Drosophila melanogaster: one gene and its partners. The gene in region 2 interacts genetically with the main gene of each other region. Each region holds a gene or a part of one and is shown on either strand. Other genes may lie near its edges.

Region 1 (4,640 bases), on a different chromosome or scaffold from region 2:
GCAATTGGAGTTACCAGGGAAATTGAATTTTTTAAATTTGCATCGGGCAAACAAACAAGATGGAAAGCGGAAACAGCGCTAACAAAAGCAAGAACATAAATCCTGCCCGAGATGCAAAAACAAAAACACGGCAAAATGACAGAGAAAATGGAATTTATTAAATAGCATTCCGCGCAATAAACTCTTGCAGCAAAAAAAAAAAAAAAAACGAGCACAGCAACAAAAATCCACACACACACACACACACACACACACACACACACACGATCGCATAATCAAATAAAACAACTTGGACATGCAATTTTATGGCAGGACGTCGTTTTCCTTTTGGGCACCCTTCTCCTCGATTCCATTTCAGTGGCCCCCAGTTCAACGTAAACAGACGCAAAAACAATGGGGAACGAGTATAAAATGGTATATGTACGAATCGGAATTAAGAATACCCTATCGGATACGCACAGTATCAATCATCTATGGATGTGCGATGAATCGAAATATACAAGGAATAAGGAACATCTTATGGAGATCAAAAAACCGAATGGTTTTAAAATGCTTAAAAGCATGCAACATTTGGAGTTTGAAATCAAATAAGTTCATATATGTTTTATGTTTTTATTTAGAGTATTTCACCATTTTAACGAAGTTATAAGCCCTATTGCTAGGGTATTCAAAAATGGGATTAAGCCGAGAGGAGAATCGCAAAAAGACCGCTCAACATTTTTTCCATTAAGGGCGCCCAAAAAATAAAAAAATAAAAAAAACCGGACAGCTAAGAGGGGCTCAGGGATTTGCGGAGCTGGCCATCAGCGCATTCAGGTTTTTGGGACCTGCTGGACACAAATTAAACCAAGTGAAGCCAAATAAAAAGGTTAAATTAATAACCGTAGTCGCTCTTTAAAGTTCAAGCCAAATGCTATCTGTATGTATGTGTGTGTGTGTGTGTGTGTGTGAGTGCCTGTGCGAAATGCATATTTGAATATTGCATAAATCATCGCTTTTATTTCGATTTTTGTTTTATTCGCCATGCGGTTTGCTTTTGTTTTCTGCAAAAGCGCCTCATTAAATTACCATTTTAATGATTATTTAATTCCATCAGTTGGACAAATATAATAATTGAATATATATTTTATATATTATCTTTGCAGCCCAATAAGTTGTCAATGATAATATCTTAGGATTCTGCAATTACGTTCGATGGCAAACTTCAGCATTTGTATTTAAAATCTCATAAATTATTAAAGACTTTTAAATTTTATCTACATATGATGTAAGGTAGATTCTATTGAGATTTTCCGTATCAAAACCTAATATTTTGAGTAGCATTTTGTAAATGCCGTAAAAAACGTCTTACTTTCGTCATGCCTTCACTTAAAAAGCGTCAATATCAGTATCATTCAGATTTGCTGTACAGCACTTGAAATTCCTCGATTGCTAGGAATTGTGCAATCTTTTATTGCATTTTTTTAGAAATAGTTAGGTCGCGGCGGATATTTGTGATGGAAACCACACGAAACCAAACTGTCTGGTCTGAATTGATTTAAATTAATTGAATTTTAAAGCGAACCGGTAATCGGCAACCGGTTTCAACCGATTCAAGGCGAACCGTCCAATTGAGCAAACGGTATTTGAATGTTTTAACTGATTGATGTCAGTCGATATGGCCTGATTGTTCCGATACTGACCTGTGCTCCGGGTGCTTCGGCCTATTCCAGTTGACTCCGATTAATCCAACTCATGTGCCTGTTTTTGTGGCGGAATTATTGGGCGGAAGAGGGGATTTACGGGAATTAAAGCCGATTTGGGCGGATCGAAGGGACTTAACTTCGGGGCAAACACATTTGGTTTCAGGCACTTGTCTAGACTTTCCTCGGCGTTTCTCGGTGTTTCTTTCGGTTATCACACTCTTTATTCTAAATTTCTTCACTTGCTTTTGAAGCTATTAAGAGCACTAGTGGATTTTCAAATTTTGAATTGAGCATTCACGGTATTCTTCATGGTTTTCTTATAAGTTTCACTTTACCCATGTTAAGCTGGTAAAAATAGGGTTTCGATTTTATGTTTCAGTTGTGGCTGAACAATCTAGAAAGAATTTCAAAATTTTCGGTCACTATTACAGGTTTAAAATAAGAAAATGAATTTCGCGCAAGTTAGATTTTATTTTATTCTTATGTGTTTCAAACTTATAGTTGTGTTTATAAACTTTATCACATCGCTTTTAACAATTTCAAATTTTAATGGGCTAAATTTGATGCTTATCACTCTTAATTTCTGCCAGTGCATTTTGATCGCATTGTAAACATTTTTACAGAAACAAGAACAACAAATTGCGTTTCATTGCCACAGTGGTGGTCTCTGCGCCGTCGTCGGCAGCGACGTCGACGTCGGCTGCGAAAGGCGACACCATTTCACCGGCGACTATTAGCAGCAAGTGCGAGAGAAACGGACGATGGCGATCGCACAATTCCACACAACACACACACACACACATACGCATAGGCTGCAACTGTTGCAGCAGCCAAAACAACAACAAGACGGCTAAAAAGCGAGTGTTTTTTTTCGATTTTTTCGCGCTGCGACCTTGGAACCGTTAGCTTTTCAAGCTGAACTCTTGGACTGTTAAGTTGGCTGCCTTTTTAACACCTTAATAGCGCTTATCCAATTGTTTGCCTTTTGCTTTTGTTGCTTGTTGCTGCCGTCGCTGCTCTGCCGCTGTCGCTGCTGCTGCACTGCCTCTGCCGGCGTCAGCTGCTCGCCTGCGTGTGTGTGCGTGTGTCCGTGTGAGTTTCCGTTTGTTTTGTGTTGGGCCTTTTATTTTGTCGTGTTTTTTGTGCCCACCGTGCAATTGCAATATTTACGGATTATTCGCGGACCGTTGAGCGATATATGTGCGGTTTTTTGCGCGGAGTTGGATCGGCGGAGACGACGGAACAGCGATATATAATTGCAGCAGTTGCAAGAAGAAGAGCCAACCAGCAGTGGCTGCCAGTGTGTGCACACTGCGCAGCAGAATTGCCACCTGGCCGGCGGTGTTGCCACATCGCTGGATTTCGTGCTGCGATTGTCTGGAGTGTAAGAAGAAGAGCAGTGGATCAGCTGTTGCTCACAAGCGGCTCAAATTGAGTTATGTGCTAACGCGTTCGTGGAAGATTTGGGCGCGCAATTCAAAAATGTAACATAACGGGATTTAAAGATTTCAATTTAAATAAACTTTGAATCTATAATAATCTATTGTTCGAATTAAGCGTCGAAGTAAAGTTTTCAAATAGTATACTTTGCGTCACAACTCAACCCAAAATCAGAACATTGTAACAGAAATAATTAGGTCTGAAAATGAACTCAATAGTGATTTTTATTCTGCACTTTTTCTTGGGTAAGCAATTAACATATGTATAAAATAAATTCTACTAATGAATTTTCCCTGCCGGCTTAGGAATCACACTCGGAACAGCTATTCCCAACGAAATAAGTGTGAAAATGGCAGTGCCAAATAATTCTGTTACTATGAAAACCGAAGAGTTCCTGCTGCAAAACGAAAATATTCCCTTTGGTCTTCAGAGTATTCCGCATTACTTAAAACATCTCATTACAAATGTGGACAGGGATATCCCGGGAAAGAGAAAACCGAAGATTACTCAGTACTTCAAGCTGAGTCCAGAAATGGATAATTTGCAGATGATGCGGTTTCTTATCGAGACCTTTGGCAGATTCATTGGACTCATTACATAGGCGTAGTATGTTCTTTTTTGATATATTTTCCAGCTGTGAGAAGAATTCCAACGCGCTCATAAATAAGAAAATGAAAGGAGAAGACGATGAGGTTTTGATGATTTCAAATGAGAGGAACTTGATGAGATTTTTTGGTCAAGAGCATTTATTTCGAATTCAGTTTTGCAACGAGGCCAAAGGAGAAAAGAAATGAAGTATTAAAACTGATAAATGATAGAAGAATTCGTTAAGGAAGAACAAAGAAATATGCCACAGAAAGCTTTCAACTAAAGACGGCAAGAAACGAAGATTTGCTTTCCAAATAATAAACAACAGATAACAAGGTACATTTAAGGTTTTTTCATTGGTTTCTTTTATATGTATATATATATATATATATATTTATATATATATATAGATCTATGTATATATAGTATAACATTGTTAACATTTACTATTGACTATGTAATATCCGCTGCAGAGATACTTTTCGTGTTTCGTGTTCTGTTTCAGTTTCGGTTTATGTTTTTCTGTTTGATTTGCAGGTACTTAGTACTACTTTGCTCCTTGGGTTTGCGATTATTGTACGCTTGTCCTATATATACACACGCTATAACATATAGTTTTTTAATAGGTATCCATGGTTAGATATATGAGAATTTGGGGGGCTTCTTATATAGGTTCCTTTGGGTAGGGTGGAATACTAAAGAGTTTAGGCGTTAATAAATACATCTCGAGTTTTAGTTGGTAAAATTGCTAACATTTAGTAAGTAACTATGTTGTACATTCAAGGGCTACATCGTATAAGGTATCGCTGATCTATAACGATCGTAAATATATCTATGTGTATACAGTATACAGTGTGTATATGAATATGAAACAATCTGCAGTTATAGATTCTAGGCATAGGCTATGCAGTGAAGTCTTAGACGAGT
Region 2 (5,304 bases):
ACGCTGTCTGGGCCCAAGTACGCCTCGAAGACGCTCTCCATGATCCGCGCTAGCTGGTCGCTGAGTCCAACCAGCATCTACTGCCCGGTGCGCTGGCAGAAGGAGAAGGGGGTGGACACCAGGGCCTCCGCTGCTCGTCTATACGATAATTGCCTTCGAATGACGTTCTGTTTTTCGGGTGGGCCTTTGTTTTGGCCTGTGTTTTCGCTGGCAGCAACGGCAATGCTCCTGCTTCTGGCCCGAGGTCACAGGGGTTTCATTTGTTGTTGGCAGTGACGGGCGCTGATTACAAACTATGCGATAACCAGCATTTGATCAGTCTGCGGCTGGTTTAGTTTGATTTATTTTTCTTTTTTGTTGATTACAACGCAGTGACGTAGCTGTTAGTATGACCGCAACTGATAAGGTATTTTACTTTGCCAAAATACCGAACCTTGCACTTAACATGACCATAACATAGGAAATAACAGTATTTTTCCAAACTGTTAATGAAATGCATTCAAAAATGAAGTTTTTTAAAAAATATTTAATTTTTTTCTTATTTTACGCAAAGTATAGATTTGTAACAATGTAAAAACTTCAAAATTGCACGTGCGGGACTTCAAACTAGCTACGCTACCTTGAGTGCGCAGAATTTGTTGTTCAGATCGAAGAAGTCGTTTTCTGGATCGGCATCCTCGACCATTTCCGCATTGGGATCCGCGATGGCCTCCCTTAGCTCCACTTTCCTAGCCGCCTGACGCTGCTTCTTCAATCGCTTCTTCTGCAGGGCCTTTGCCGCCGTCGGATCCACCTCCAATCGCTTCCAAGTTGGTATAAACTCCGCGCACCAGTCGTACAAGTAGCAATAGAAATCGAACATCAACTTGGAGTCGGGCAGCAGGAAGTTCTCAACATGGTAGCGGACATCGGCACGATTCCTCAGTACATCATACATGTTGTAGAGAAAGGCGCCGCAATAAAGCTGGTTCATCCTCGGACTCAAAAGTGGAAAATCCAAAAGAGAATTTAGCCCATTGAGTTGGTAAACCACAGCCTGAAATTCAGCAAATGCGTGGATAACCGTGGTGGAGTACAAGTCAAACTTCTTTTTGAAGATCTCCTGCATATGGAAGTGCGGCAGTAGGCGTTCCTGAGTTAAATAGCAGTCCGATTTGGGTACATGAGCCATCCGATCTGGAACAGAAAGCTCTAGCAGAGCAGGTTTGATGCCGCGCTTAATTCCCTCGGCAGCTTCCTTATCCCTCACTGCTCGCTCTGCTTTCAATGTCTTGCCAAATCTTTTAAGGAAGGTTTTCACCTCTCGTTCAGCAGGGATTGTAACATCTATGGTTCGTAGGACAACCAAACTAAGGATCAGCGAGTGAAGATGCAGCAAATCACAGTGCTCCGAGCGATGTAACCAGTAGATAATGGCCAGAAAGTACAGCCTCAGGTCCTCCGGCAACTGGTCGAGCTTGCTGAACAACTTCTCCGTATCCGCATTGGGAGCATTGTCTTCGAATACAGCTCTTAAATGCCTAGCATCCGGCGAAAGAGGATCAAACGGATAGGCAGGCTTCTTTTCAATGGGCATCTTGAAATACCTCACGTTCGTCACTCGCAGAGCTCTGGTGAGGTAGGTGAGATAGGGGACTGTCGAACCCTCTATATCCATATCCACTTCTAATGGTAGCTCAATTTTCTCACACTCTACGTGATGGAGAAGAGCGAACACGTAGTTCAGGATGGGTAAGGCCACTTCATTGGAGTCGTGGAAGGGAAAGTGCTCGATCTGTGGGTTGTTGATGTACTTGCGCAGGTGCATAAGGTCCACGAAGCTGCGGGGCAGGTGCGCGGGATATAGTTTGTCCAGAAACCATTGTGGGAAGAGTAGCGTTTTGTCTTCCACTTCCAGCTCGAGGCCTTCATCCGCCTCCTCTTCTTCTTCATCACCCGAATCAACGTCTTGATTTTCTTCCTGCTGCTCCTCATCTTGGTTATCAGCTTCCTCCTGATCCTCGCCTTCTTCGACATCTGAAAATTTTTCATCGGAGCTAGACGAATGTTCATCGTCGCTGCATTCCTCTTCACTGACGGGTTCTATATAAGGAAAAGCATTCTCGTAGTGCTCATCGAAGTAATCGTAGGCGTGGCACAACTCGTTGGAGTAACCAGAGATGGCTGCATTCACTTGGGAGACCAGGGAATCACGCTGGTTCTGCAAGAATATTATTTTTAGCATAAATCGGAAAAAGATATCTCAAGCAACGAACCTTTTTCAGTCTCGACAGCACTTTAGCCAGAGCAGATTCCGCCGTTTCCTCCTTCAGCCATGTGAGGATGACCTGTATGCGCTTCTGCTGGAGCTTTAGTTTGCGACTTCGTCCTGCTTTGCCCATTCCCGCAGCAAAAAAGTTCTTGAAGGCACTGCGGGCAATATAGTCATTGCCCAGGAGGGCGGCAAAAAGGGGTAGCTTCTCGGGACTCAGAGTTCCTCGTCCGCAGAGATGGGACACCCGGTAGATGCAGCAGTCGAGGTACTTGTAGGTCTTGGAACTGCCTTTTGTACTGGCTGTCAGCCCTGTGGTTTGAATGCCAGTCACAATCTTGTTGGCCCTGGTGCGCTTCTTCACATTCTTGGCCTCGCAGTGACGTAGATCTCGACTGTCCTTCTGGTTGCTGCTGTTCTTGTCCTTCACCTGCTTGGTGAGAACCTGGGGTACATGGAATCGCTTAGTATATGCTGGAATCCAAATAACTTATGCCTTACCTTAACAGTCAGCGTGATCAGCGGGATGTACTTGACGTTGTGGATGTAGAAATCCGAGTCGTAGGAGAGCACTGGGCAGTTAAGTTTCCTGGCCAGAGCAGCCAACTCGTCGTCCGCCTCAAAGACGCACCTCATCACCGGGACTCCGCAGTCGCGCACAGCGTCCACGAAAACCTCCTTGAGGTGCAGCGGGAACAGCGTGATGGATGCATTGGGGTTTATCTTCTTGATCACGGAAATCTTGTTGCGCAGCCGGGTGCTAACGGTCCTCAGCTTGCGCTCCTCGTACCCGCCGTCCATGAGCACATAGGGCCGAATGTTGCACTCGGCCAGAACCTGGAAGAACTGCACCACGGCGCGGTAGAAGTCGTCGTAGTCGCCGCCGAAGGCGGAGTAGCTCCCGGTGACATCCTTGTACAGATTGCAGCTCAAGTTGTCGCCATCGATGACCAGCGCCGTGGAGTGCAGCTCGTGCGGCTTAAGGTAGATCTCCGCGCGCTGCGCTATGTAACTGGTCAGGCCGCGGACTCCCATTTTCCCGGCGCTTGCCTATTTTCCCAATTTTCTATTTACCTATTTTGCACAAACTTTAAAAGCGTGCTAATAGTGATGTCAGTTTGCAGTGCGATACTATCGATGTACATATCGATTCTTTAGCGTGGCCGTTCGCTGCCGTTTGGTATATATGAGCGATTAGTTTGGTATCTAGGGTATTTCCCGCAGCCGGATGGTATATTCCGGGGATGGCGCCGCGGTCACACTCTGTCCCGACAATTCCAACCCGACGCTTGTCTGCTCTCCACCCGCGCATCAAACGTCGAAAAATCGTAACGTCGCGAGTGCTACGCGGTGGCCAGGAGAAAAATTCGCCAGCAATAGCAACACTTGTACCGAAAATCTAAAGGAAACTGGGAAATGTACTAGCACAAACACAGCGAGTGCAGTGGAAACCGAAATCGCCATTGAATCGAAGAGCGCGTGCATATATACGGGTTCCGTTGGTTCCGTTCCGTTTCTTGTCGCTTTTCTTGCACACACTTTACCACTTTACCTTTGCGTCTCTCGTTTCGTGCGTGCGTGTGTGTGTGCGCGGAGTGTGGTGTGCGTGCGTGTGTGTTGTTTTTGTGTGTTCGTTTAACTAAAGCACAGGTAGAAGGAAAAGCAGCGGAAAAAAGAAAACCATGGGCGAAATATGCATATGAAATTAAGTAAATACAAGGCGACAGCAGCAGAAAACATCCAGTAGCAACGAGAAACAACAACAACAATAACACACGTTAATAACTCAGCTTTGTGCGTCTTTCGTCTGCGCTTCACATAGTATTATTTTTCTCTTGGATTTTCCACACAAAAACACCATGAGTGAGCGAGCGAGAGCGACGATCGTGATCACCGTGTCGTGAATGAATTTTTGTCAGTGTGTGCGAGGCGTGCTCTACGCACACACACACGTACGTAAACAACACAACCACACACGGCCCATCATCGATCACCAATCACCTGTGTGTGTGTGTGCGGCATTTAATAAATAATTGTGTGCAAATAAATGTTCCAAAAGGAAATTGTTAAGCCAAACCAGCAAAAAACGTAAATCAACCGTGCGATAATTCGTCCTAGAGTTGAAAAAAAAAGACGGTTCAAAAGCAAGTGCGTGTGTGCAGAGTTCTTCTGGTGTCTTGGGAGCTTCGTTTTACGGATACGAAACATATATAACTTCCCTCTTTGCCGAAAAAGGTGAGTTCAAAATCAGGGAAAAATCCCTTTCCCATTGGCCAAGGCCGTTCCGGGAAATCTGCGAGTGGTCTTGGCCCACGTTTCCTGTCTTCCGCACATTTTCACACGTCCTGCAATTGCAATTTTTTCCGATTTCCCAACTCTGCACCTCCTGTATGTTCGGCGATTCCCACGCCTCTTTTTTTCGGGGCAGGTATTCGCAGGTAGCGGAAAGAGGAAAAACCCTCGGGAAAGCCGATAAACTAGAGAAAACCTCTGTTGGTGGGCCGAAAAAACCAGAAAAAATAGAAGAATTGAAATGTTTTCCCTGGCTGCTGAAACAGAGAAAATCGGGCGAAATTAGGCACCCGCTGATTCCAGAAAATTGCTCGTATAATAGAAACATCTCACTGGGGGAGAAATAAATTATCGTTATTATCATCTGCAGTTGCAATTTGGCACAATTTCGATATGACTGTGCTCCCATTTGCCCGGCGATTATGTAATTTTCGCCGCTGTGCTCGAGAATCAGGTTCATTTTCCATATGAAAAAGGGGGCTTTGCTGCAGACATTGCATATATGCCGACGATCTGGCGACCACCGACAGTTGCCAGCAATTTCCGGCGCTTTTTGGCAACTGGAAATCGAGCACAAAAGTTCATCCCAGGGCTTAGAGAGCCGCAAAAGGCGTAGCCATCCATATTCACCCCATCCCAAACGCATTTCCCAATGTGGTTTATAGTTTTCCTACAGCTGTTGCGACTGCGATTTTAACGATTTTTACTGGTAATCCGGGGAGGAAGTGAAGTTCATAGCGGTTCGACCAGTTGATACCTCT
Region 3 (4,956 bases), on a different chromosome or scaffold from region 2:
TGGGGGAGTTAAAAAACATTTCTCTTCGCATGGCATTTTGTACGCTTGATCAAATGTTTATGAGTGTGGGTCGGGGCATCTTGGAATCTCAGAATCTCGGCATCTTACACCTCTCGAGCGGCGTTTACCTGTGGTTCGTACTGGCGGAGTTGGTGGAGTGCCCTGAAGTGGTTTCAGAGTTCTGAGTTCTAAGATCGTTCTCAACTCGATGTTCGGCTGTCAGTTGCATGCTCTTCGATTTTGACAGATGATTCCGTACGGTTTGGGCAGTGTACCTTTTGATTGAGGTCTTCTGGCTTGGGACAGACGGCTATTAATATGTTTGATTATGGCTGCAGACCGGAGCATGGCGCTTTTACCCCATCGTGGAAATCTGTGGAAATGCTTTTCAATTTAAATGTATTTTCATGCTCTGAAACAAAGCGCCGAGCAAGACAATGCAACGCCTCTCGAGAGTCACAGCGTGGGATTCGAGATTCAAATGTGGACCGAGGAGTTAGTTGCGCTTTTCCAAGTGCACCTTTTGTATTTCTGTTATGGCAAAGTGAAAAAGGTCAAAACGCTTCGGATTTACCTGCCGAAACAGTGTCCTTTTGGCCCGATCCCGCAGAGCACATGGCGCAGGCGTAAAAACCCCGATTTCTTGTGGGCTGGGAACAGGTGAAGAAGAGGCCAACGAGATCTCGGTCTTGGATCTGCCCTAACAATGTTGACAACGCTCGTACAAAAATCTTTTTGCCAAAAGACAATCCATGGCCCACGCAGGCTCGGCTCACAGACACAGATGCAGATGCGGGCACAGTTACACACACAAACACACACAGATACAGATACAATTGCCGAGATCTTTTGTGCTTATATGGCAGCATTGCCCACACATACCCATGTATATACAGCCAGGTGAGAGAGCGGCGATCGCTTTACCTGAACGCTCTCAAATTCGCCGCAACAACAGAACCTCCAACAACAACAACAACAACAGCAGCAGTGTCAAGAAATTGGGATATACACAAGATCTTACCTGGGAACGACCTGCAATCGATGCGAATCTTAAATGCCCTGCACAGCTGTCGGAGTTAAGATGCTGTCGGATAATCCCCGCATTGGTTTTTTTGCTCTTGTCTTTGCTATTGGGCATTTTGGGGGGAGGGGAAAATCAGGACATTGTTGCTCAAGTACTTTCCTTTGTTGGAAAACTCGTCTCTGCAGTTGAAAAGGCTATTTATGGCGCCTTCTTAATCCTACCTAAACTTTGCTATCTTAAAACTGAGGTTGTTGCGTATAAATGCTTCTTAACTTTTTTAACATAAATCCCGTGTGTATATTATTTATACACGCCCTGTATATCGAGCAACATATTTTGTGCAAAAAGATTGTCCTTCTTTGGTATCCACTCTTCAAGCTTGGGATACTTAACCGCTCTGAGCCATGTACTCTATGTTAAGATTGTTAGTTGAAGTTATGTTCTGCGAACTTAAGATCTCTAGTTGGTGTTTCCGTTCATTTGAGATGGCGCTAAATTCGATTCTGTGCATTAGGGCCAACGTTTAGCATTTTCCCATGATATGTAGAGCATTTGCTGGTCTGGGGGAAGATTGCCCAATGTATCTGGCCGTATCGTTTCGTATTACGCTGACTTTTTAAAATGCTGCTGCTACGTTTACGATTACCTGTGGATTGTGGATGGAGATGGTCCGCTGGCGGTGCGAGTGGGAACGCTGCACTGAGCGAGCGAGAGGTGGCGACAGCGGTGCGCAGCTGTGCCGTAGTTGTTGCTGTATCGCTGGCTTTGCTTTTATTTTGACCTGATCTGAGCTCGAGATTTCGCCGTTCACCTTTATTTTTACCTGTGCGCGCTCTTTTCGCCGCAATCGAGAGTAAGAAACACGGCGAGAGAGTGAGAGAGAGAGACAGAGAGGGAGCAGCGCCTTTTGGCTGCGGCTTTGGCCTCAGTCTCGAATACAACTTGTTGCTGCGCGGACGCGAATCGCTCAGTACGGACGTCTTGAGCTCGAATCCTCGGCCATATCTGTGCTCTCGATCGCAGCGTTTGCTAATTCGAAGATCGTGCTAATCGAAGTACCGAGAAATCACAGTTCGCAAAACGACCAAAACCAAAGCCAAAAACGGGGTGTAAGCCAAGTGCCTTTGGCCTATACTATACTACTAAGCGTATTTTTGTGAATACCCTGCTAATTGGCAGCCGCGGCTGTGGCGGTTGTGGCTCAGTTCGAATGATGGCCAAGTGTGTGTGTTTTGTGCAAGTTAACCGCTGCGGGGGCAACACAACAATTGCTTAGGGCAATCAATTAAAGCTGAAAGCTAAGAGCTGCGCCTGCGCACGCCTCTCTAACCTCAAAAATCGTTGGCGAACTCAAAAAAGAAGCTGAAAAATACATCTGAAAAATAACAAAAATTTTATTTTTTACATACACTCATATATATATATATATATATATGAAAGCCTTCGGACGACTCTTGTGGCTCGTAATGTGAAACTGGTTCCTACACTCACGCACACACTCACTCACTGGCGCGTTCAAAAGACCCACTCGAAAACACACACTCACTCTCACGCGCATACACAGTGAAATGTAAACACCAATACAGTGGCAAATTGCAACGACAACAGCTTAAATTCAAAACAACAACAACAACAACAGCAACCGCAGCAAACGCAGTGAAAGAGTCGAAATCAAATTTATGAAAAGCTGTATTTTTGGCACGCAAAGCTGAGTGAGCAAAAAGCCGAAAGTAAACCGCAAGTTCAAGAAAAAGAAACGAATAAAAAATAACCCCTATGACGTCAGGGGTTATAGCTTGGAAGAGGGCTTGATTCATCCCACCAGTAACGCCCACAAAAAGCACCAACCACCAAACCACCCACCGCCCCGCAACAATGCTGCTGCGACGGCGCAACGGCCCCTGCCCCTTCCCCCTGCTGCTCCTGCTCCTGGCCCACTGCATTTGCATTTGGCCCGCGTCGGCGGCCCGCGATCGCTACGCCCGCCAGAACAATCGCCAGCGCCATCAGGATATAGATCGCGATCGGGATCGAGATCGATTCCTATACCGCAGCAGTTCGGCCCAAAATCGACAGAGGGGCGGGGCCAACTTCGCCCTGGGACTGGGAGCCAACGGAGTCACCATTCCCACCAGTCTGGAGGATAAGAACAAGAACGAGTTCGTCAAGGGGAAAAGTAAGTGCACCGCAAGGATCTATCCATCTTCCTCAAGCCGCCCATCATCTATCAAAATGTGTTTATGTAGATCATCTGGCTGACTGACTGGCTGCCCATATATCAAAAGAGCCAAGTCGTCCCGAATTTGGCCACCGTATCAGTTGGTCTCTAGAGTTTCCACCGTTTTCAGGTGTTTTTTTTTTTATTGTAGTTTCGTGCCAGCGATATGCTGTCGTTTATCTTATCGCTGTGATGTTTTTTTTTTATTTTTCCCCTGTACTGCACTTTAAATATAGCTTCGTTTTCGGCTGCATTTCGTATTATTTGGTCTTATCGTTACCCTGGGAATATCAATTATCGAGGGGTAGCTGCAAAGTGTGCAATATTACAAATATTTTACTAAGCTCATAGATTAAAAAACACTTGCAATAGTGTGTGAATTCGTAGTATTTTAAGTAATATAAGCTTACTTAACATTTATGTGTCTGGAATATGGACTTTGAATGATATTTCCCAATATCACGTATACGCCAGGGTATCCCCTAGTCCAGAGTGAATGCTCCCTCCATTTAATACCTGCCCTTCGCGACGGTCTCACCTGCCCTGTGGCTCACCTCTTGACTTGGCGCTGGCTTAGTCAAAGAGTCTTGTGTGCACTATCGCCCCTGTTTCGAGTTACCCCCACACCTAGCCATCAGATATCACGGCAAACATACCAGAATACCAGAACGCACTGATTAGCCAAGCACTGAGCACTGTGCTGTGCATTTCGTAATGTCAAATGTACAAGGTAAAGCGTAGTAGTTAGTTAGTGTTAAGACCGCCCGATTTTTCCACTCTGCCACTTTTCCCGCCGTCTGCGTGCCCTTTTCTGTGCATCAGCAGCAATTGCAATTGCAACAGCAAAAGCAACAGTAAGAGCAATAGGGCAACTGCAACTAGCGACACAATTTCCAGCTAAAATGGCGACTCAATTTGTTGACTCTGCAGTTCTCGAGGTTTTCTTTGTGGGCTCTTTGTTTCTTACCCGTTGGAAAATAAATTAATACACAAAATTTGGTATTCGCATATTGGAAGTTTTGGCTGCTTGGCTGGCTGGCTGTATGTTTGGGTAACCATTTGGCCACAATTTAATGAACTCCATGGCGTATCTGGCGGTGTCTGTTTGCACAGTACTTTGAGGCAAATGTTTGTATTCGGCGGGCAAACAGAAAAGTAAAAATTAAATGGGAGGCGAATAAAAGCGGGCCGTCGATACCAAGTACTCAGTGATCTTGTAGCTGCAAATTAATAACTGAATGTGCGCATTGTGCGCCAGCAACTGTGCAAATATTGATAGGAAAACGAAAACTTTGGCTACGCAGTCTATGCTAATGGGAGACGGGAGACCACCACCGCATAGCCGGATATGTGGATGTGGTATGTATGTATGTATGTATGGCTAGATAAGCGAGTTATGAAACCGATAAAGATGCCAGAACCTTAAAAAGCGATATTACCCTTTTTTTTCGCACAGACGATCGCTGCTGTCACAATGCCCTTTTCGCAGAAATTGTTCGAGTTATTTGCTCTGGCTTACTGTTTCGCTGTTTTCTTTATGACCATAAAAATAAGCACAGCTGCGGCATGTATGCAAATAAATGCTAGAGAAAAGCCTGCACGTGCATTCGAATCGAAACCGTTAAAAAAATCGTTGGGGGTAGGAAACTCGAACAACTGGCAATTGTTGTTGACGTCTTTATAGTTCAAAACGCTACACTCGCTGGCAAAAAAT
Region 4 (7,269 bases), 990 kb from region 2:
CGGTAAGTTCTTTTTCAGAAGCCAAATCAGTGTAACTCGATTTGTGCATGTTCGTCAACACCATGTTGTCCGCAAAATACTTCTTCTGACTTGATCTTTGGTGAAAAGCACATATCTACATATGTAGAAGCCAAACTGACTTCATGTACTTAGAGCCCGTCCTCATACAGAAGCCAAATCAGTAACCGCAACTTTACCTAATTTTAAAAAAAATCTTTGCAAATGATTCCGAAGTAATTCTAGCTGGGGCGTACGGAAAAAATGGTTTACTTTTAAAGGAACAGATCAAATTTCGCCGACACGTACACGAACCATTTTTGGAAGTCCAGCATTCTTATCCTTGAACTTCCAGCTTGACAAAGGCTTGATCGCGACCTAAACGGCGGTAGCGGAGGACTGCTCAGGTTGCTACACTGGAGATTGTGAAGTCTGGGGTCTGTCCAATCGAAGAAAACAGGTTAGGCCGCAGCCCAATCGCATACTTTAAAAGCAGAACAAGTCTCTAAAAAAACGAAAGTCATCATTCAAAAAGCATTTCGCGCGACAGACTCAAACTCGTGCCCAGTGTACATCTGCTAAGGATATCAGACAAAAAGACGAAAAGAACCCTAATGATATTAGGGAACTGGCTCTTGCATTCATTCCAGCGGCAAGTTTTTTGTTGTGCGGCGTTCGAAAGAATGATCAGCAAATTTAAACTTTTTCCTAGAACTGATCTTTTTTTTATCCAAAACGTAAGGAGGTATTCATCCTGACTTAAATAAATTTCCAAATACAAGCATATACATATATACATACATAAATATAAAAGAAGCCATGATAATCCAACTTACAAAATTATGACGAGTTCTGTTTAAAAAAATACATACGTATCAAATAAAATATTTGTAAACTATCTAAGAAACTGACCATTCTATGCCTAAAAATCGAACAGCTTGTGCAATACTAAAATTAAATGTTGACATTATTAAGACCGTTGCTTTTACTTTCTTCGCCAGTGCCATCCGCAGATGAAATACATACTAATACATATTTTATCACGTATGCACAAATGAAATTGACGCTGGTATATGCGTTGTGTCCAGCAGCAATGTTGCAAGAAGAATAAACTGTTTTAATAAAGTCCTGATTATGATAGAGGCTTTAACAGCCTTATAAGTCAAACTTTGCAAAATGGAGAGCAGCCGAAATTAATTAATCTTACCTAATTCAATGGCATTTAAGATCTTTTTCTGTCCAAAATATTGAATGTATATTCATCCCGATAAGTTTACAAAAAGTCAAAAGACATTTTGTCATTGAAACATAAGTAAGGCCGCAGAAAAGTAATACTTGCAATCAATAAGTTGAATACAAATTTTTTCTAGTCGCAAATCTCAAGCGAGCGAATATTTTCATTCATAAAACTAATAATGTGGTAGTCAAACATGTTCGACAGCGAACCGATCCAGCGGTTCGTACCACAGTGCTGGCAGGTCTTTCTGCCTAATATTTCTGGTGCCAATAAGTTCAGAGGCCTAGCAAACTTAGCTGTTCAAAATTTTGCTTTAAAGTATTTATATATTTCTTGTAAAGATAAATACTTTATTTCTTATTAAGCATATAATTTACTTATGGAAGAAATATATTTTCTGGCTAAGGGCGCAATTTTTTTCAAGCCATACACACATTAGGACAACGGACTCTAAAAAAACTGAATGGTCAACACTGATAACCAAACGCAGTTCGACCGCGTGCTGCTTTTAGCATGAAGCCAGCCGGTCCCTGGCGCAGGCCATTTCAATCCGCAAGATATTTTCAATCCGTCAGATACTTTCGTTGTGAACAGTCGTGCTCCGGTCAGAAGATTTTACGAGAAATCGTGAAAATAAAAAGTTCTAATAAGTTGAAGATAGTGCCAAAGCTCACATACGGCTTAACCAAACCACAAATTAAAAAAGTGCCTTTAAACAATACGTGACATTTCAATAGGTTTATGTTAACATAAAGCCCGTAATTGTGAATAAATAAAATATAAGCCCACAAAACTATTCAAATACCGTTTTCGGATACGCGCTACTTTTAAAGTTCTTGAATGTCCTTCGCGGCTATGGCGAATACCAACACAGAAAAACTTTACATGCAACTAAGCGCATCGGAATTATCAGCAATTATTATGAAAGGTGGGTATTTACCTTTTGCACGAGCAAAGGACACTGCACCTGTTGCCTGCGAATTGTGCGGCACCTGCAAATACTTACATAAATATACACACCTACATACATAGGTTTTTTATGTCTTGCAGTCGGATGATTATAATCATTTCCCGCAAAATATTTGTCGACAATAATTTGTCAAATAGCTGTATATTCATTTTTGTAATCGAAACCCAAAAAGAACGAATACAATCATTAAGGCAAGGAGGCTATGGCCCAAGGCTATGCAATAGACACTGAAGATAATTGACGACCAACATTGTTAATAGGGGGTGCTGCCGTGTGCACCCAGAAAGCCCCACCAACTAACACGTTGCAGCAGAATCATATTAGCAGCAGACTTGTGAGGATGGCAATTAAGATGCAGACAGATACGTAAATAAAGCCAACTATGTGTCGCCAGCGTACTCCAACTTTCGTCTTGTGTTGCATATGTCGGCCAAGCACTTTGCCCGCAATGGCGAATTTGGGACGACGATGTCGCCAGACATATTGGCAATTTGTCTGTTTGTGAAGCTGGAGCGACAGTTGGACTCTGCATTGTGTGTCCCTTTTCACCACCGCCTGCTGATTGTTATAATGTTCGAGGACAGACGTTAACTCCTTCCATATTGTTGGTACTGTTTACGTCAGCATTTCATAAAATCGATTTTATTTTTTGTTTCTGTGATCATTTATTTAAAATGCTAGTCTTAATCAGCAACGTTTCGAAATGATTAGTCTAGATGGCCATTGGTTTGGATAGAATAAGGTGTCTTTAATTTAAATTGATCACTATGAGTTTATAAAAATTCCACTTATATTATTTTACTACATAACGCAATGTAGTAACAGGAAAGCCGAATGATATTGGGTTCGTTTTATAACCAACGTAAAAATGTCCTTACCAAGTGTGTCAAAGTACTGCATGATCTGGATGTGTTCTTACGATTCATTCATAAAAGTGATGCGTCATTTTACTACAATATATTTCATATAGTCGCTATAACATATTTACATTTATGTACGTATGAGTATATGCACTTGTTATGATAAGACGAGGCTTCCCACACAGGGAACGCTTCCCAGTGGACCGACCGCCAGCCAAAAGCCGCCTATGATGATAACCTTTCGTTGACTTTTGGCGTGAATATGGGATTTTCTTATGCCTCTGACAGTTAATGTCTGCCGTTTTTAAGTAGGTTTTAGCTGATTTTCGCAGGAGGGCATTCATTCTTAGAAAAAAAGGCCAATAACGGGAAAACCGTTGTCAATTTCTGAGCAAAACTTGCTATTTTGTACTTGGCACCTAAAGACGGATCAGATCCATAAAAAATAAACTAATTTGGGCGTACAAAAAACATCTTAAAATATTCTTAATATAAACAATCGAGAATAATACCTTCTTCCGTGTATACTAAAAATAAAATAAAATGTGCAGGTATTGCCCTTTGGTCGTTAGATGTAACTTTAAGTGTCTGATACGGACAACTTAAATATAAATTGGTAGAAATTTATTTTTTAAAAACTTGGCAAGCTTTAAAAATGTTTCCGTTTGGCACAGGTGTTTTAAACTAGACGACGCCTGCGAGGACGGTGGCTTAAAAGTAAACATTTGTCTAAATATAAATTAAAATGCGGTATATAAACCACGCAAGACATGGGATAGAGTTAGGGCTATAAAACTGATGTTATTTGTACAGCCTGATTTCGTGGCCGCAATGTCAGTCAGTTGCTTTGAATTTCGTTTCGTTGTTTATCTGCCTAAAATTAGAAAAGATAGCAGAATATTGTGCTTATAAATAGTTGAATAAACATGCAAAAAGCTTACCTTCCGTAAATGTGTGTCCGCACCGGTTCAAACAAACAGGGAATAAATTTACTCATTCTTAGCCAACTTAGCTTAAGTAATTAATTTAAAATTAATAACAAGTAATTATTGTATGTATGATTGCTGACAAACATATACATATATATAATGGATAGGCTGATAACACAATAATTGATTACAAAAAAAATTAGCTGTTGAAGACAAAGTTTTTTTTTGCTTAAATACCGGAATACTTATAAATATCCTAGCAGATTCTATACCTTTATACTTTGCTGGCACAACCAAAGTTGAAATCGCAAACAAATTCGATCCATGTATGTATGCTCGTTTATATGCATTGTGATTTTTTTTTAAATTGCTAACCGGGTTGTTGGCTTCTGATGCAGTGGCTGCTTCATGCTGAACTTGAACTGGCTTTATTCGCCAGACTTGAAATAAATTACTTTTAACAAGTAAGCTGCGTTTCGGCACTTCAATACTTGTGGAGGTCAGTGGTAAATTAAGAAACCTGTTTTGTTTTCGTGATCAATGCATAATTTCACTTTATATAATGGACTTTCTTCTCATGTAACCTCCGATTTGAATGTATTAAATAGATTTCATAGGGTGGAAGAACATATTATAGATAAGAAAATACGTCAAAACTACGTCATCCAATTAGTTTCGATCAGATGGTAATAAAAAATAGTAACTAAAGATTTGGGATTTATTGAATTTTGAAAAGTCGAAGGGGTGTCACACAAAGGCAGTCGCAGCCCTATTCGGCTTGCTGGCCTGTTCCGCGAAAACGGGGGTTTTTTTAAATTTACGAATACGAAATGCCAAACATTAGTAACCGGTTCGGCGTAATACGTCACAGATAGAAGATAACTAACTCTTAAATTTTTTGGTATTTTTAGATTCACCCAATTCCAACGACCGTGATGCGGGTTTTTGTTCCGCCAGTTCGGAAAGCGAAGGCGGAGACGACTTGGTCGTCGAGCACGCGCGCAGTGGCAGTCCCGACATCAGACCAAAAGGAACAGACTCGGCGGACTCCAAGCCAATAGCCCTTGTCCGCAACAAACGCAAGAGTTCGGAACCCTTCAAAGTCGTAGGTTTGACGACTCCCAACTCTAAATCCATGCCTGGTCCTCCGTCCAGTGCGAGTATGAATGCAACTGGTCCGCTAAAGAAACGCATACGATACACATCTTCCGCCGATTCGGCAGTTGTCCTAACGCCACCAGCCATAGACTCTCCACCGCCCAACAGTTGCATACCTTCCACGTTGCGCCTGCAGCATGAAATAATGCCTAATCCGGCACATATATATGTTCGCCATCCGGGAGTTACGACTCTTCACAGATCGCTTGCTGCCCACCCAGAACAGCTGGAACCACTCGCATTAGTAACGACCAAAAAGCAATGTGTCGACCAAGCGGGGCCTAAAATAGAGGCCTTTTCCGCATTGCTAATTGGAAAACAGCCATCCGCCAAAAAAACGTTGAAGGAAAGGACGCAAAAAGAATCAACGTCATCTTCCTTTTTAGAAGCTAGTCTTAGCGATGAGGATCTGAACAAGACGGGATTGGCACCAATTTCGCGACCTCATCAACATCAACGCAATTACAAGAATATGACTAGGGAGCGCCGCATTGAGGCGAACGCACGTGAACGGACCCGTGTACACACCATATCCGCCGCCTACGAAACGCTCCGCCAAGCTGTTCCAGCCTATGCCAGCACTCAAAAACTTTCCAAACTCTCCGTTCTTCGGGTAGCGTGTTCCTATATACTAACCTTAAGTAGAATGGCTGGCGAGGATTACAGCGCCGATCAATCCGTACCGTCCATTGCCACGTGCTTAGAAGCTGTAACATCAACCATCCAAACGGAGGGAAAAGTGAAACGAAAGAAAGACGAGTAATCTGTCCAGTTTCGTGGATAACTTACTTTTTTAGACTTTAAATGCGACTGATTTCTGCTATTTTTTTAAATATTTGTGCTTAAGCTTAGATTAATCTGCATACAGCATTCCTATCCACATGCTTTGATTCTTTGCCAGAAGTGGCCTAATAGCTTTAAAAGTTTTCAAGGCTTTGTTAGATATACAGACTTCATGAGTTTAAAAAAAAAATTTTTAAGTATGCCTGCATACAATTTGTATTTGATATTGACATTGTTATGAATAAATACTAGCGATGTGATCATAATTTAATCTCTACCTACAGAAACATTTTAGTCAGTACAAAAAGTCAACGCCATCTATGTACGAGTGTATAAAAAGACAATAATCGGCATCCTTAAAACCTATGTAAATGACAATAATGTAAACTATATATTTACCTAAAAAAGTTTCAGTTTCTTGTTTCAAACAGGATTTTTATATCAATTTACAAGTTTTTAAAAGAAGCTTTGCCAAAATGTTGTAATTTCACCATCAACTTTAGTTACCTTAGGACTGAATATGAAAATGTATATTTTTTTACATGTACCTCTATAATAAGATCAATTCTTCTTTTACGAATTGCATACAACAGAGATAATCAGTAGTAATTAAAAATCCGTAGTTACGAAATTAAATAAAGAATTTAACAAATTTCAGTTTATGTAAGTAACTGTAGACGTTTCCTCTTCAATTGTAATCTCATTGTTTTGTATACATTGATATATTTGTACCCATGTATACATTCATAAGTGTACGTGCCATAGAATCAGGAAATACACAAAACTTACTATAAAGAGAATGTATTTTTATATAGAGTTGGGATTTCAGGTGGTCGCGGTTAAAATATTAGTCATCTGGGTGCAAGCGCACTAAAGGAAACCATATAGAAATGACGGCTTTAAGGGTTATTTTATGTCTGTACGTTAAACAATCTTATCGTTTGCAACAAGCTATTTCGTGATATTAAAAACTCAACAGGTGCGCAAAGAACGGCACGCTATCGATTTAAGTACACCTGAACGCATCCACGTTATCGTAACGAGTTTTGGCAAAACTTAGTCCCCTTATCAGGTTCGGAAATATATTTGTCAGCTTATCTAGCAGGCACAAAGTTTACCAATATCACAGTAAGTTGACAGTGCATTAGAACTCATGACGTACTCTGAAAGAACTCAACACTATTAACTATGCATATTATTAACAAAGTAACTGCATCTAGTTGACCCAGTGCAATATCCAGAACAAATTACATCAGCTAAGAATCCTATAGAAAACAGGTTAAAAACAGCAATTTCCGATCAGTACATATATAATGACTTGAGCATTGGCGTTAT

Evidence for each region.
Region 1: of ast (region 2) and px, changing one suppresses a phenotype caused by changing the other (phenotypic suppression), as found in Drosophila melanogaster (one study listed by BioGRID).
Region 3: of ast (region 2) and Egfr, changing one enhances a phenotype caused by changing the other (phenotypic enhancement), as found in Drosophila melanogaster (2 studies listed by BioGRID).
Region 4: of ast (region 2) and net, changing one suppresses a phenotype caused by changing the other (phenotypic suppression), as found in Drosophila melanogaster (one study listed by BioGRID).

What each region holds. Positions count from the first base shown.
Region 1 is NT_033778.4:22,559,064-22,563,703, forward strand, and holds the start of px (plexus), read right to left. Parts: upstream 3,003-4,640; 5' UTR 2,856-3,002; exon of another isoform or gene 2,836-2,855; intron 2,080-2,835; 5' UTR 1,683-2,079; intron 1-1,682. Other genes in the region: CG11362 (uncharacterized protein), read left to right, coding at 3,331-3,370, 3,431-3,726.
Region 2 is NT_033779.5:1,076,017-1,081,320, reverse strand, and holds ast (asteroid), read right to left. Parts: upstream 3,374-5,304; 5' UTR 3,287-3,373; coding exon 2,753-3,286; intron 2,697-2,752; coding exon 2,256-2,696; intron 2,201-2,255; coding exon 611-2,200; 3' UTR 518-610; downstream 1-517. Other genes in the region: Atg4a (Autophagy-related 4a), read right to left, coding at 1-77. UniProt on the Drosophila melanogaster protein: May function in EGF receptor signaling. May play a role in compound eye morphogenesis.
Region 3 is NT_033778.4:21,544,692-21,549,647, forward strand, and holds the start of Egfr (epidermal growth factor receptor), read left to right. Parts: upstream 1-1,951; 5' UTR 1,952-2,899; coding exon 2,900-3,200; intron 3,201-4,956. UniProt on the Drosophila melanogaster protein: Receptor tyrosine kinase, binding ligands of the EGF family and activating several signaling cascades to convert extracellular cues into appropriate cellular responses. Known ligands include spitz, gurken, vein and giant-lens.
Region 4 is NT_033779.5:81,913-89,181, reverse strand, and holds net (net), read left to right. Parts: upstream 1-1,794; 5' UTR 1,795-2,089; coding exon 2,090-2,162; intron 2,163-4,904; coding exon 4,905-5,914; 3' UTR 5,915-6,761; downstream 6,762-7,269.